Neodiprion lecontei: one gene and its partner. The protein of the gene in region 1 purifies or fractionates together with the protein of each later gene. This does not show direct contact. Links are inferred from orthologs where the notes say so. Each region holds a gene or a part of one and is shown on either strand. Other genes may lie near its edges.

Region 1 (6,134 bases):
ACCGTGCGTGTGGAACCAGAACAAAGTCCGAGTTACGGGAAAATGAAAGTGGGTACCCAGTAACAAACGTATTTCTTTTTGAAGTAACGAAATCATAAATAAATTCGGAAATTCAGGAATTGGAATCCAATATATTAAGTGACTCGATCTGCTACACGTAGAAAGTCATTACACTTTTTTGTAGTGCGGTTTACTTTACACACTAAACCAAAAACTAATAATAGCTGGAATGAAGTACTTCGTTCTACGCTTCGGTGTTCCCATAATATGCCGAATTTCTGATTTTGACAGCCATATATCGCTCAGTCCCGTACTTATCTTGGATCCCAATTACGAGTTGTGAAATTATTAAATATTTCAATATGAACTGTTCAGGTGGTTCATAACTATGGTCATGGAGGGTACGGTGTGTGCACTGCACCGGGTACAGCTAAATATGCTGTTCATTGGGCAAAGGAATTTCAAATATCTTCGTCAAAGCTCTAAATTGTATGCTTCAATAAATAACAATGGACAGGATTTTATGAAGTAGAATTAGTGTCGGTTCATTGTTAATTTTAATAATAATTGTTCTACAAAAAATATATAAGAATCACACAATACTATGTGGCTTTTTCGAATGTAATTCTCAACCCTAACTCTAAAGTGTGTACTATGTATGTTTAACAATAATAAGCGTATACGATGGTAAATTGTTTTTCCTTCATGTCTATGATCTAAATACAAAAACTAGATATAACTTAAAATTATACACATAGAGTTCATGGGTAAAATATAATATTACAACGATACAGGAAATGAATTTTCCTTACTTGAAATTTGTTGCATTTTTTCCATTAAGATCTATAAATTTCTTCACATAAACTGCACTTTACCACAATTTTTTAATACACAGTAACGAAGTTTTCACGCAACAAACTACGGGCATGAAATAATTAGGAAATTCTTTAACGTACAGCGATAACACTGATACAATCAAATCGCACAAAATGTATCGTAATATATTCATATAGTAAATTACATGTTTCCCTTTTTACTTTCGTACATTCGTCATTCATACTCTCTCAACGCTTCAGTATGTAATTTAGAGGTAGCAATTTGAACTATCTTGCCGATTTTCAGTGATCTGACTCAACTGCACAAAGTCGACATAATTCCGTAGCAAACTAATGGATATATCAACTATTACATAAATAAAAAATGTAATGTTCGTTGATACACATAGATTTTGTTTGTTGATAAATTACAGCTGATAAATTGAATCATCCTCAAATGCTGTAACACTCTCATGATACGGAACAAAATAATTTATGTACCAGGATGATAGTGCTATTGTTAATTTTAGTTCGACTATCGTAATTTGCCGTCAACTGTATTCATTTCTTTCCTGGTTTTATATTTTTACGCGGTGGTGCCCCCCATCGTAGGGAGCTCGAGTCAACTGTCAAACGAGGTCGCTTAAACTGGCTGCTTTTGATATGTTCTTCAACCAATTTTGGGGTCACGCAAATTACGTGCTGTCCTTTCCAGTACTTCACCATATTCATGCTTTGGAGTGTTGAAATAATGTCAGTCTGTGAGATGCTAGTCATTTGACTGTAACAATATTATGTGTTTCATTCACTATAAGTTACACTTAGATTTCAAGTATTAAGCAAATCGACATAAACTAATAAAATATAAAATGTAAATTTTATACCTCAAATCTTTGATGCTGAGTGTTCCTCTGAAATCTCTTAATATCTCCAGGAGAATCCAACTCCAGTAGCTCCTGTACGAAAGCTTTCCTAAATCACTGAGAGGCTTTTCGGGGCTTCCAACAGTTTGCTCGATCCTGCTCAATTCATAACTGAATGCGATGAGCAGCTTCCCATATCCTTGTCGTTGAAACGGGGGCAGAGTTAGAATGCAAGCAACATTATTTCCATCCGGCGATTCTTTTTCCTGAATGAAAGTTTTTGTTTTATTGCTAGAGGACAAGCGAAGCTGACTTCACTGTGGTAAAAATAATATTTTTGTTTGAGAATTAATACCTTCGAAAAGTAACCAACTAAATGAGCTCCATGTTTATCCACTTCGCAGAGAATATAGAATAGAAAAGGCTCAACATCGAAATACAATGTTTTGTGATCCAGAAATAATTTGGCCAACAAACAGAGATTCTGGCAGTATATCTTGTGCTCTCTTCCATCAACCTCCCAGATACTCAGAGTACCTTTGCGATATATTTCTTTGCCAACAGGCTGCCTGTGAGTACATTCGCTCTGAAAATCAATTAAAATGTAAATATGCAAACTGTGCACGCAACGTTGAACGTGGTAACGTTAGCGTAACAAAGTATATTTTTAAAACAGTGTTTGGTAAATTTAGAATCAGGTAGTTTTCAAGAGAGTTGTAAAATTAGTATGACTGACGTTATGATTGATGGCTGATTGTATTTCGGAGAATTATAATCTGACAATAGAGGCATTTTTTGAAAAGCACTTTCTCACATTGACTTTAGAAGTTTTAACGTTGTGTGCATACATGTTCAATGAATTTCAACTAAATTAGATTAATTACCATGTGGTATCTGTAAGTTTTCTCGAGCCTCATATATTTCAGACAGTATTCACATATCCATAACTTTGGCTGTTTACCATATTCTTCAGGGTATGGGCTGAAGTACCACGTGTCTATTTCATATCGCCCTGAAAAAATGAGTTTCAGCATAACAATAGAGGTAAGGCACAAGAAAAAATTCCATTAAAGTACTTATAAACATAAGCTGAGGAGATTTTATGAAATGTTAAGTTTTCTATTGTTTTACGAATAATTTACAAAAATCTACAAATATTTTGTAAAGTAACATTTAAAGCTGACCTATTTGTATCCTGTCAATATATTTCACTTTCGTTATGGCCTCATGTTCTTTCTCCAAGGCAGCAGTAGTTGGATCCATTTCTGCGTAGGTCTATTATATACATGGGCATTACAGAGCCGATAATATCTTCCACTAAATAGTTCATTCTGTGCTAAATAAATGAAATTAACAGCTATACCCACTTTCTGTATATGATTTATTTCGTCGTGTCGCCTCTTCTGATTTCGCGTTATTTTCCTGTCCGATGAATCTGCTAACAAATCACTAGCTGGATTCCTGTCGCTATTCTTCCAGCTCTGATCGCTCATGTCAAATCTGCTAGACATTATCCTGTCTCTAGGTACCCACTCGTCCAATCTTCTATTATATCCTTCATAGTGCACGTAGTATTCATAATGGCCTTCCCCCTCATTATATCTCGTTTGAATGATTTCCGCCGGATCTGTAATTGTGCCGTTAGTGTTGAATGAAACGTGACGATTGTAGCTTTTGTTTACCAATGTAAGTAAACACTATTTGAACGCCTGAAAGTGAAATTCAACTTTTCGCAAGTATAGGTAGAACAAAATATGCCAAAAGTCCGGACACACGTAGATGCATGTTGTCTGATATGTGCTGATCGTACGTCTGGCGTCCGGAGCATAGTCCGAAGACGCGTTATAGTCCTCCTGTTATAACCTACTTCACAATCTGAAGTACTCACGCCATGAATCATCCGACCTACGGACCAAGTAGTGTTCCCCGATGTCCAAGGGCTGCTCCTCGAGACTATCCGCGTCATCACCAGATCCTTTACCACCGTTCGTTGAATTGTTCTCACGATTTTCCGGCTTTACCCCCGATTCTTTCGCGCTCGAACTATCTTTACCCTTGTGGTCAGTGTCCGCCATTTTAATAACAATTCACGAATTCAACAGTAAAACAAGACTCCTGGAGCTGGCGCCACCATTACTAGTGCCACCAGTGTCATCGAAAAAATTAGAGACGAAAGGACGGACAGAAAACTTGTATATTTTCCGTGTTTCTTTAGTATTAGCGCTATCTGCCGCCATATAGATTTTTACAATATTTAGGACTGATTTTCGATTGTCCTCGATCGTAAGCGCATGTTGGAAATCTTCGGCTCGAGACCGACCCGCATTTGCCATAATGAAAGCAGCGTATAATGCAGAGCGCATTTAAAATGGCGAATGATTATAGTAGGAGTTGAGGTTTGAGAATGAACAAATGGCAAACATCAGCAAACTTCAACCGTTGACTAAGGATATGTATCCTCAGCAAACGCTTCAAAGGCCAGAGTCATTCGCTGATGAGTAATTTCCAATCCTCAATTCGCTCTCCACTGTTCACACTGCTTTCTTGATGGAAATAGGAGTCGATTACCGTGGTTACCGACGGTACCGACACTACACTACCACCAATATTAGTTCCGACAACCTCGTTCGCGCCAGAGAGCGCCAGTTTCGGTCGAAAACTGGCCACCGTCGCAGAATCGAACACATAGTTTAAAATTCGGCCGCTAATGTCGCACTGTAACAAACGACAGTCGTATATCTTCAGTCGCCGTTGCCGGTTGCCGAGAGGTTGGCTGACGTCACGACGCATGTTCCGTCCTTGTTCCGAGCTATTGAATATTCGAATGACAGAGAGACAGGTGGTGGTGGTGGTGTAGCCGTGTAGGCAGTGAGTAAAGAACATTGAGAAGCGGAGGTGTGGTTTAGTGTACGGGATTCTGTGAGATTGATGCACCGCTACGCATACATGTACATATAATCTACCGTTCGGTTATCAACGACGACGCGTGAGACGGTTTGTGCATCAGAATTCACAATTGAATACTAAATCCTGGTAAATCCTAAAGTGACATGTGCGCGTGCTGGTTCATACACCGTTGTGTTTAGGTGTGATTGCAGTCAAGTTTTATAATGTCTACCGCCGATTCTATTGATTTTTACAAGATATTTAGCTGCGTAAGAAAAGGTGAGTCTTCCCCCCCCCCCCCCCCCCGAAACCCTTTTCAATTTTTTCATGCTACAACTTGTGCGTGCGTATAATGCACCGCACCTGCAATATTACAAGATAGTCAACGCCGTTTGTTCACGTGCGTTAAATTGTGATAGTCATGCATGAACCTCGCACGCGATGCATCTCGGTCTTACGTAGACGTTCTTTTGTCCGAATCAGGCGTCTTTTTTTTCGACCCTTTCTGTACCTACATATACGTAGGTATATTCTTGTAACTATTATCGTTACTCGAAAACGATAAAGCTGACCATAATCGCACGCCGTAATACGCACGGTACGTAGAAACGAAGATTCTCATTCTCGTGGAGGGAGTTCAGAGTCGAGATCGATCGTCGAATGGAATCTCGTACAACTTTTTCATCTCCTGTTTGATATTCGGGACGAAAAACGGCTTCAATTGTAATGCCAATCAGCCGCGTTCCCAATGACGCGCGTACGGATAAAACGACGCGTTGATATCTTCCGAAACTAATAATCCAATTCTTACATACCCCCTGTACGCATACGTGGAGCTTTTTACACACTCTGAATAGAGGCTAATCCAATTACTGGTATACCTACGCGAGGTCACCACAAACGTGTGACGAAATACGAAACACGTTTATCATTTATATTTATGTGTCGTACCGCATCTACAGCTGACTTGGTTTTCTAATGATTATAATATACCGTATGAGTTAGGTCCCACATTTGTTTATTATCAAATCGATTTGCAAGAATACTTTTCAAACAATGCCTTGAGATTCCAACGAGTAAATACCACAATGTCGGGGCTTGTTTCGAAAGTCTTTAATTTCTTAATCAAATTTTACAGATTATGGCTAATTTTCATTGAGCATTCAACGTGTCTACTTTAGAGATGATATTACAATTTTGTGTAAAGAAGAGGCGATAAATTTTTCGAAGTCGGAAATTCGCGATCATAATTATAGTAACAATAATAATGTACGTACAGTGTAGATCAATGATAAATGAGATGGTGGAAAGAGGGTGGGAAATATTGTTGGGAAGAAAGAAAATGAAGAAAAATTGCTGAATTTGTTTTTACAGCTTATTTAAGAGATCATCCGGACACGTCTGGTTGTTCGCCGGGAGGATTTTTATTTTTGTGAGTAAATATGTATGTGCCTAAATGATGAAACCCACGTTGAAAAAAACACGTGTATTAACAATCTGAGGTGGAAGGGATAAATGCAATTTATACTTCGTATGCTATAATAATTTCGCGGTTTTTTTTTTTTTTTTT
Region 2 (5,810 bases), on another chromosome or scaffold:
GACCCAACTATCAAGCGTAGTATTAAGGTCGATGCTCTGAAGGCTGTTGGTACTAAAGCTAGTCTAAACCAGGCCACCACCAATTTATTATCTTTACTTGCGGAGAATGGGCGCCTGAAGAACATTAATGGGGTTGTCCATGCCTTCAAAGTTATCATGGCAGCAAACCGAGGAGAGGTAGTCTGCGAAGTTACCACTGCGAAGCCATTAGACGCAGAGACCAAGAACAAATTGGAAGCCACTCTTAAAGGATTCCTCAAACAGGGACAGACCATTCTTCTTACAACTAAACTTGATCCAGCCATTATTGGAGGCATGGTTGTTTCTATTGGAGACAAATATGTCGACATGAGTGTTGCCAGCAAAGTTAAAAAATATTCTGACATCATCAGGGCTGCTGTGTAATCATCTCCTGACCCTATTTGGGCCATAAACGTCTTCTCTTCGTGTAGTTGAATACAACTATGTTGTACAATACGGTTAATCGCAATAAATGAAACAAGTTAACGATATGATACCCGGAGTGTTGATAAAATTTATTTTGCATTGGTTGATACGTTAACAATAGTGAATAGTACCTCAAATTTCCTAATTAGAGTCACCATTCAGTTTCGCAGGTATATGTCATACTGGAGGTTAGATTATATTTTTAAAAAAGTTGTAGAAAATTAAAGTAGATTTATATCTTTCAAATTTTCTTGGGCCACTATAAATTCACAGTCTGTTGCAGGGGTACATTCTCTGCTTGTGTGTAAAATTGTTCACCGAACCATTCTCGATGCATTTCCAGGAAACTGCAATTTTCAAAAGGATTCATTGAAGGACCATTACGAACTAAATTTTTGCTACGTATCTACATCTCTATTGCAAATCTATACACTTACCTTAGAAACATATCTAAGTGCTTCAAAAGTGTCTTCAGTTTTTTTTCAGGCATGTCCGCAGCTTGTAATAAGTCAGGCAGTTTCACTGGAATGAAACGAATTAAATTTATAAAAAAAAGTATATACCTAATATGTTTAGTATTACCATTTTACACTCCATTCGGTACGAAGCAGTCTTTATGTCAATATGCAGTGAATACGATTTTAGTTCATAGTACAACAGCGGACAGAGATAGATACATACCAAAAAGTCGTGTCAGATGAATCGCACCATAATACATAGATGGAGCCAAAGGACTTTGACGCTTCGCAGATTCAGGTACTAAGCGCCACGCATTTGATTGTTGAAGTAAAGCGCCAATTTGCGCTGACGGAATTATTGGTAGTCTTAAAGGCAAGCCACGAGGACTAGAACATCGTGAGCTTGTACTAGCTATGCTAGGGTGAGAAAAAGAATTTTTTTAATTTTTTGATGAATTCCATTGTCAAAGAGAAATGGGCAATTTCAACAATATGCAGCTTCTTAGGAACTTGACTAATACATTGTATATCATACATTGTTAAATTTGGCAATGGCGAAGGGAAATTAACTGCAGCACCTCGACAAATTGCCTGGTTCTTGTTTAACTTCATCATAAGAGCGAAGTTGTCTTCCTTCATCCATAGAGCTCACTCTACAGGATCGCAATCTACGCTTAGACTCGACAGGCGGTTTGGGTGATGAGTTGTCAAGTTCAGATTCATGCTCTCTGAACGGTGGTAAATGAGCAAATTCTGTATCTTCAAGTTCTTCTTTGATTGTGACATTCTGATCTGCATTACTGGAACACAAAGTGAACTACTAGTCAAGTAATAGATATAAATATCTGATGTGGGCAAATCGGCAGTTACTGGAAAACATTGCAATTAATGCGAGTCACCCTATTGAAACCGCACATGTAAATTTAATAACACATACGTACTCAAAGGACTCTTCTTTAAGAGGAGGTGCAAGATCAACGTATTGATAGGATGATCGAAAGCTTTCGTACTGTTCCTTTTCTTCTCTATACAACAGAAGGTCAGCTAATGTAAAGTCAAAGTAAATCCTCAATCCGTCTGCGACTTCTCTAGAGATATTAACATCGCTAACACTTTTTTCAATGGTATGATTTGATTTGTTTCGTTGGGGTTTGTCGGAAATATTTGTTAACTGGGTAGTAGTAAAGTGTTGCACCCATGTTTCCAAAATATTTAATACTGTTGGCTGAGCTGGCAATACAGCAATCTGAAAAATATGTGTAAATTTAATCAAAACAGTGAGGCTAAATAAAATCGTTAAATTACCTATGATCAAGGAAACTTAACGAAATGTCAACAACTAGCTGTATACGAGACATACCTTATTTTTATGAGTTATGAGATCATGATCTTGTTCTAATAAGCGTTTCAAGGTAGCACCAATATCAAGATCTATTCCTGGTCGATGACTTCCACCAGAGTGACTTCCACCTCCACTTTCATCGCCTCCGCTACTGTCATCACCATACTCCGAACTACTTTCTGTATCTTCCTCTGTTGCAGCCTCCTATTGAAAAACAAACAGAGTGATTATAATTGTAAATTGAATAACTCGTAATATAGAGCTCCAAAGTCCAGGCTAACGTAAAGCCAATGAAAAAATATACAGGGATTTAAGTTTTCGACTAATGTCGATAAAAAACAGTTAAAATTTTGTGTGTTGTATGGGCAGAGGGTAAAGGTGGCGAATAGTATAATACACGTCATACTTCGGTATCATAATCATCGTGTTGACCAGAACTGCCATCTTCGGAAGATCCGGTAGTTGCTGATGTCGCACGGCTACCGCCACTCCTGGCCCTGCGCCCAGGCTCCGGTCCCGATCCTACTGAACGTTCCGACAGTTTGTGGCTGCGTTTTTTGCGCTCTCTTCGGTACAGATATGCACCTCTTTGAAACATAAGTTTTTAGTCAAGTAAAAGCCAAATACATTCAAAATTAGATGTTCCTGTCCAAAAAATAGATTACTTCATTCACATTCAAAGGTACACCAGATCGTTAGATTAGGTCATTTTGATATTGCTTACAGTTAACTCTTCCTAAAAAGTGATAAGTTTTTGCTGAACTTTTTTTGGTAACAGACTTATTAACTTTGTTCTCACAGTTGAAGTTGGGCTTTTTGGGCAAGGTCTCTCTGTAGCTGGCGATTTTCTTCCGTATCCTTCAGAACATATTCTTCTGTGACGCATCGATCCCAAGACGAATTCCATCCCTATTTTAAGAATAACTTTTATTCATACAATCAGTATTCAAACTCAGATATATAGGTAATTGATTTTGAAATAAGAATCTTTATTTCACTAATGAATGTTGAACATCTGGTGTAATTAATCCTTTCAGTTAAGATGAAATTGAATAATAGCCAGTCAGTAATTACATCTATAAAGATGTATTTTTTCATTACCTGAAAATGTACCAGATATTCTACTGCTTTGCGACCTCGTTGATCTTTATTGACGATCACATCTAACACCTGAGACAAAAATGTTCGATTAAAAGTAATTGCTGTTAATCAAGCAGGATTAAATAATCAGTATATCATCTCCAAATTACCAATTTGACAATAGTGTATGTAATGCCACATGTAATTAGATTATCGAATTTCAGAATATTAGAATAGTCAAAACCTGGCAACCCACATATGTTAACAATCATCTGAACTCAAACTAAATTGTCCCATACAATGAGAGATTATCGTTCTGGCACTGCTATCATAAATAAACAAATACTCGATGTTGGTGTCGCAGTGTCCAATAGTGAAGGAAGTAAGGCCGAGCTTAAATATTTGTCACCCTATTATTCATCCTGCTGATGTTCAATGTCAAATATTGTCACCCTGCTCTAAATAGAGGTTGTACTTAGGCAGAATAACAAAACTTTCGTGCTTTTTTTTCCGTTCAAACTAAGGCATGAATAATAATCTCATCTGTTGATACCTTCGAGTCGTAGAGGACTTTAGCCTTTGTTGGATCTGGTTCATAACACAACACTTTTTCACCGTCAGAAAATTTGAACCTAGGACCTCTTGTTGACACCATCGTCGACTCACAGTGCGACTTGAAGCGTCCGCCGAGGTTCTCAAGTTTCGTTGATGCTGATTGTCAGTGATTCCCATTCTTTCATATATGCCTGCAGAAATTCTTCGCTAGTCATACAGCTTTCGGTTGTAAAGAGGTGATCCGACTCGCGCTGGACGCTGTGATTATTTCACTAAAGTAGTCTGTAGGTGTCGCATGCGGGTAAGAGCCACCACCCGCGAAAATTTCAAGCATATTTCGGAACAGTTTGTATTCACGCAAAAGTTAAAGCAACGGTTAATGTCACATGCAATCCGTCAAGAACACTTTTTAAATAAACTGTCGTCTTTGGAAATGCCAAACAACAATACCAGTGTTTCTAAATGCCGACACCCGTGTTGGCGTAGAGTACACATTAGCACTTTCCCATTACATTGTATTGTAATAACCGTTGCTTCAGTCATCGAGTCAACGTAGTAACGGGCAAACGGGGCAATTGTGAATTGTGCCTGAACAAATAAACATTCCGTGAGCCGAAATAAAATTGCCATCAGGCACGAATTATAGATATAGGAAAAATGCGTTCTCTTCATGTTTTCTTATTCTTGCATCGTGACAACTAAGCATATACGTGAAACGTGCAAAGCATTCAGGAAAGCAACGCCATTATTGTTTATATTCTGGCTTTTCGTCACATGAGACGCCTGGCGGAGAGCCAGGAGACCTTGTCAAATAATCACAGAGCTTTACACGTGGAAGCACCTCCTACATTATTATACCGTGGTTAAGGCTTTAGATAGAGGGTGACAGGGTGTAAATCTTCTATAAATTATCATGTAAATCCATTCTTATGGAATGTAAAAGATGCATTATTGTCTGTGCAGTTGAACGAATTCTAAAATGTGGTTCTTTTACGTGTTAAGTTGGGTTTCCTTATTCGTACAAATATGTTTTGTTACGATTTCCACAGGTACTGTGTTAGATGCGTATTTTTTATAACTTATGTTTATTTTGCTGTACTGTGAATAAAGAGGTTAACCGGGGTCCCAAGGTTTATTTCAAATTTGCTATCATTCTACTGACAAAGTCAGGCAGATTAACTGATTCTAAAATATATTTTTAAACAAACTACCTGACCGAATAATTCAGCTACTGCCTGATTCATTTCTATTAACCAAAAATGGGATTTCAAATTAGTCATACAGTTTTAGAATCTGTACAAAGCCTAAATAAATATTACATAAATTACGTAACTTTTAATTTATTAGGTACAGAATAAGTATTTAAAGAATTCAAAGTTTTTCTAAAGTCTAATAATGCATTTCAATATTTTTCAGCTGCCGGATTGTACTATTTAGCGGAATTAGTTGAGGAATATACCGTTCTGTCCAAAAAAATAATAAGAGGTGTCATACTTGTAAGTTGCGGATGCATTTTCGTAATAAACTTTTTGAGCAGCCTAATCTGCGATTCCTTAGAGAAATCAGTCAGAGCATTTGTTTCGTTTATTACATTATAATTTGTGGAATTTGGTGAAATTTTAGGTCACATTCGGAATTCATATTGGGTTCTTATTATTTGAAAACCTGCCAACGAGTATGGTAATATGTGGAATCATCGCCCAAGTAGCACACTTCTGTATACTAAAAACGTTTCCGTACGTCCAGATCATCTCGCCACTGTTCATCATCTCGATAATCATGCTAGTGGTTAACCATTACCTGGCATTCACATACTTTGCATCTGTCCACTACAGTTTTTCAGAGGTATGCAATTCGATTAATGGTCTTGCAAGAATCTATTATTTCTTACAACGTGGGTTAAATCTTATGTAATTTCAATGAGGTTG

The links. The genes of interacting proteins can lie anywhere in the genome.
Region 2: the proteins of histone acetyltransferase KAT8 (region 1) and male-specific lethal 3 homolog purify together in Homo sapiens (affinity purification with mass spectrometry; 4 studies listed by BioGRID and IntAct, with this or other methods). This does not show direct contact. The link is inferred for Neodiprion lecontei from reciprocal best matches to the Homo sapiens genes KAT8 and MSL3.

What each region holds. Positions count from the first base shown.
Region 1 is NC_060260.1:7,854,709-7,860,842, reverse strand, and holds histone acetyltransferase KAT8, read right to left. Parts: upstream 4,260-6,134; 5' UTR 3,754-4,259; coding exon 3,567-3,753; intron 3,306-3,566; coding exon 3,046-3,305; intron 2,954-3,045; coding exon 2,863-2,953; intron 2,691-2,862; coding exon 2,563-2,690; intron 2,265-2,562; coding exon 2,034-2,264; intron 1,945-2,033; coding exon 1,700-1,944; intron 1,597-1,699; coding exon 1,377-1,596; 3' UTR 541-1,376; downstream 1-540. Other genes in the region: D-amino-acid oxidase, read left to right, coding at 1-48, 376-486.
Region 2 is NC_060263.1:31,054,406-31,060,215, forward strand, and holds male-specific lethal 3 homolog, read right to left. Parts: upstream 4,100-5,810; 5' UTR 3,983-4,099; coding exon 3,881-3,982; intron 3,742-3,880; exon of another isoform or gene 3,600-3,741; coding exon of another isoform or gene 3,498-3,599; intron 3,418-3,497; coding exon 3,349-3,417; intron 3,157-3,348; coding exon 3,047-3,156; intron 2,835-3,046; coding exon 2,654-2,834; intron 2,452-2,653; coding exon 2,266-2,451; intron 2,152-2,265; coding exon 1,847-2,151; intron 1,706-1,846; coding exon 1,484-1,705; intron 1,323-1,483; coding exon 1,129-1,322; intron 970-1,128; coding exon 885-969; intron 795-884; coding exon 707-794; 3' UTR 514-706; downstream 1-513. Other genes in the region: ATP synthase subunit O, mitochondrial, read left to right, coding at 1-405; protein TEX261, read left to right, coding at 4,862-4,931, 5,299-5,378, 5,506-5,727. UniProt on the Homo sapiens protein: Non-catalytic component of the MSL histone acetyltransferase complex, a multiprotein complex that mediates the majority of histone H4 acetylation at 'Lys-16' (H4K16ac), an epigenetic mark that prevents chromatin compaction.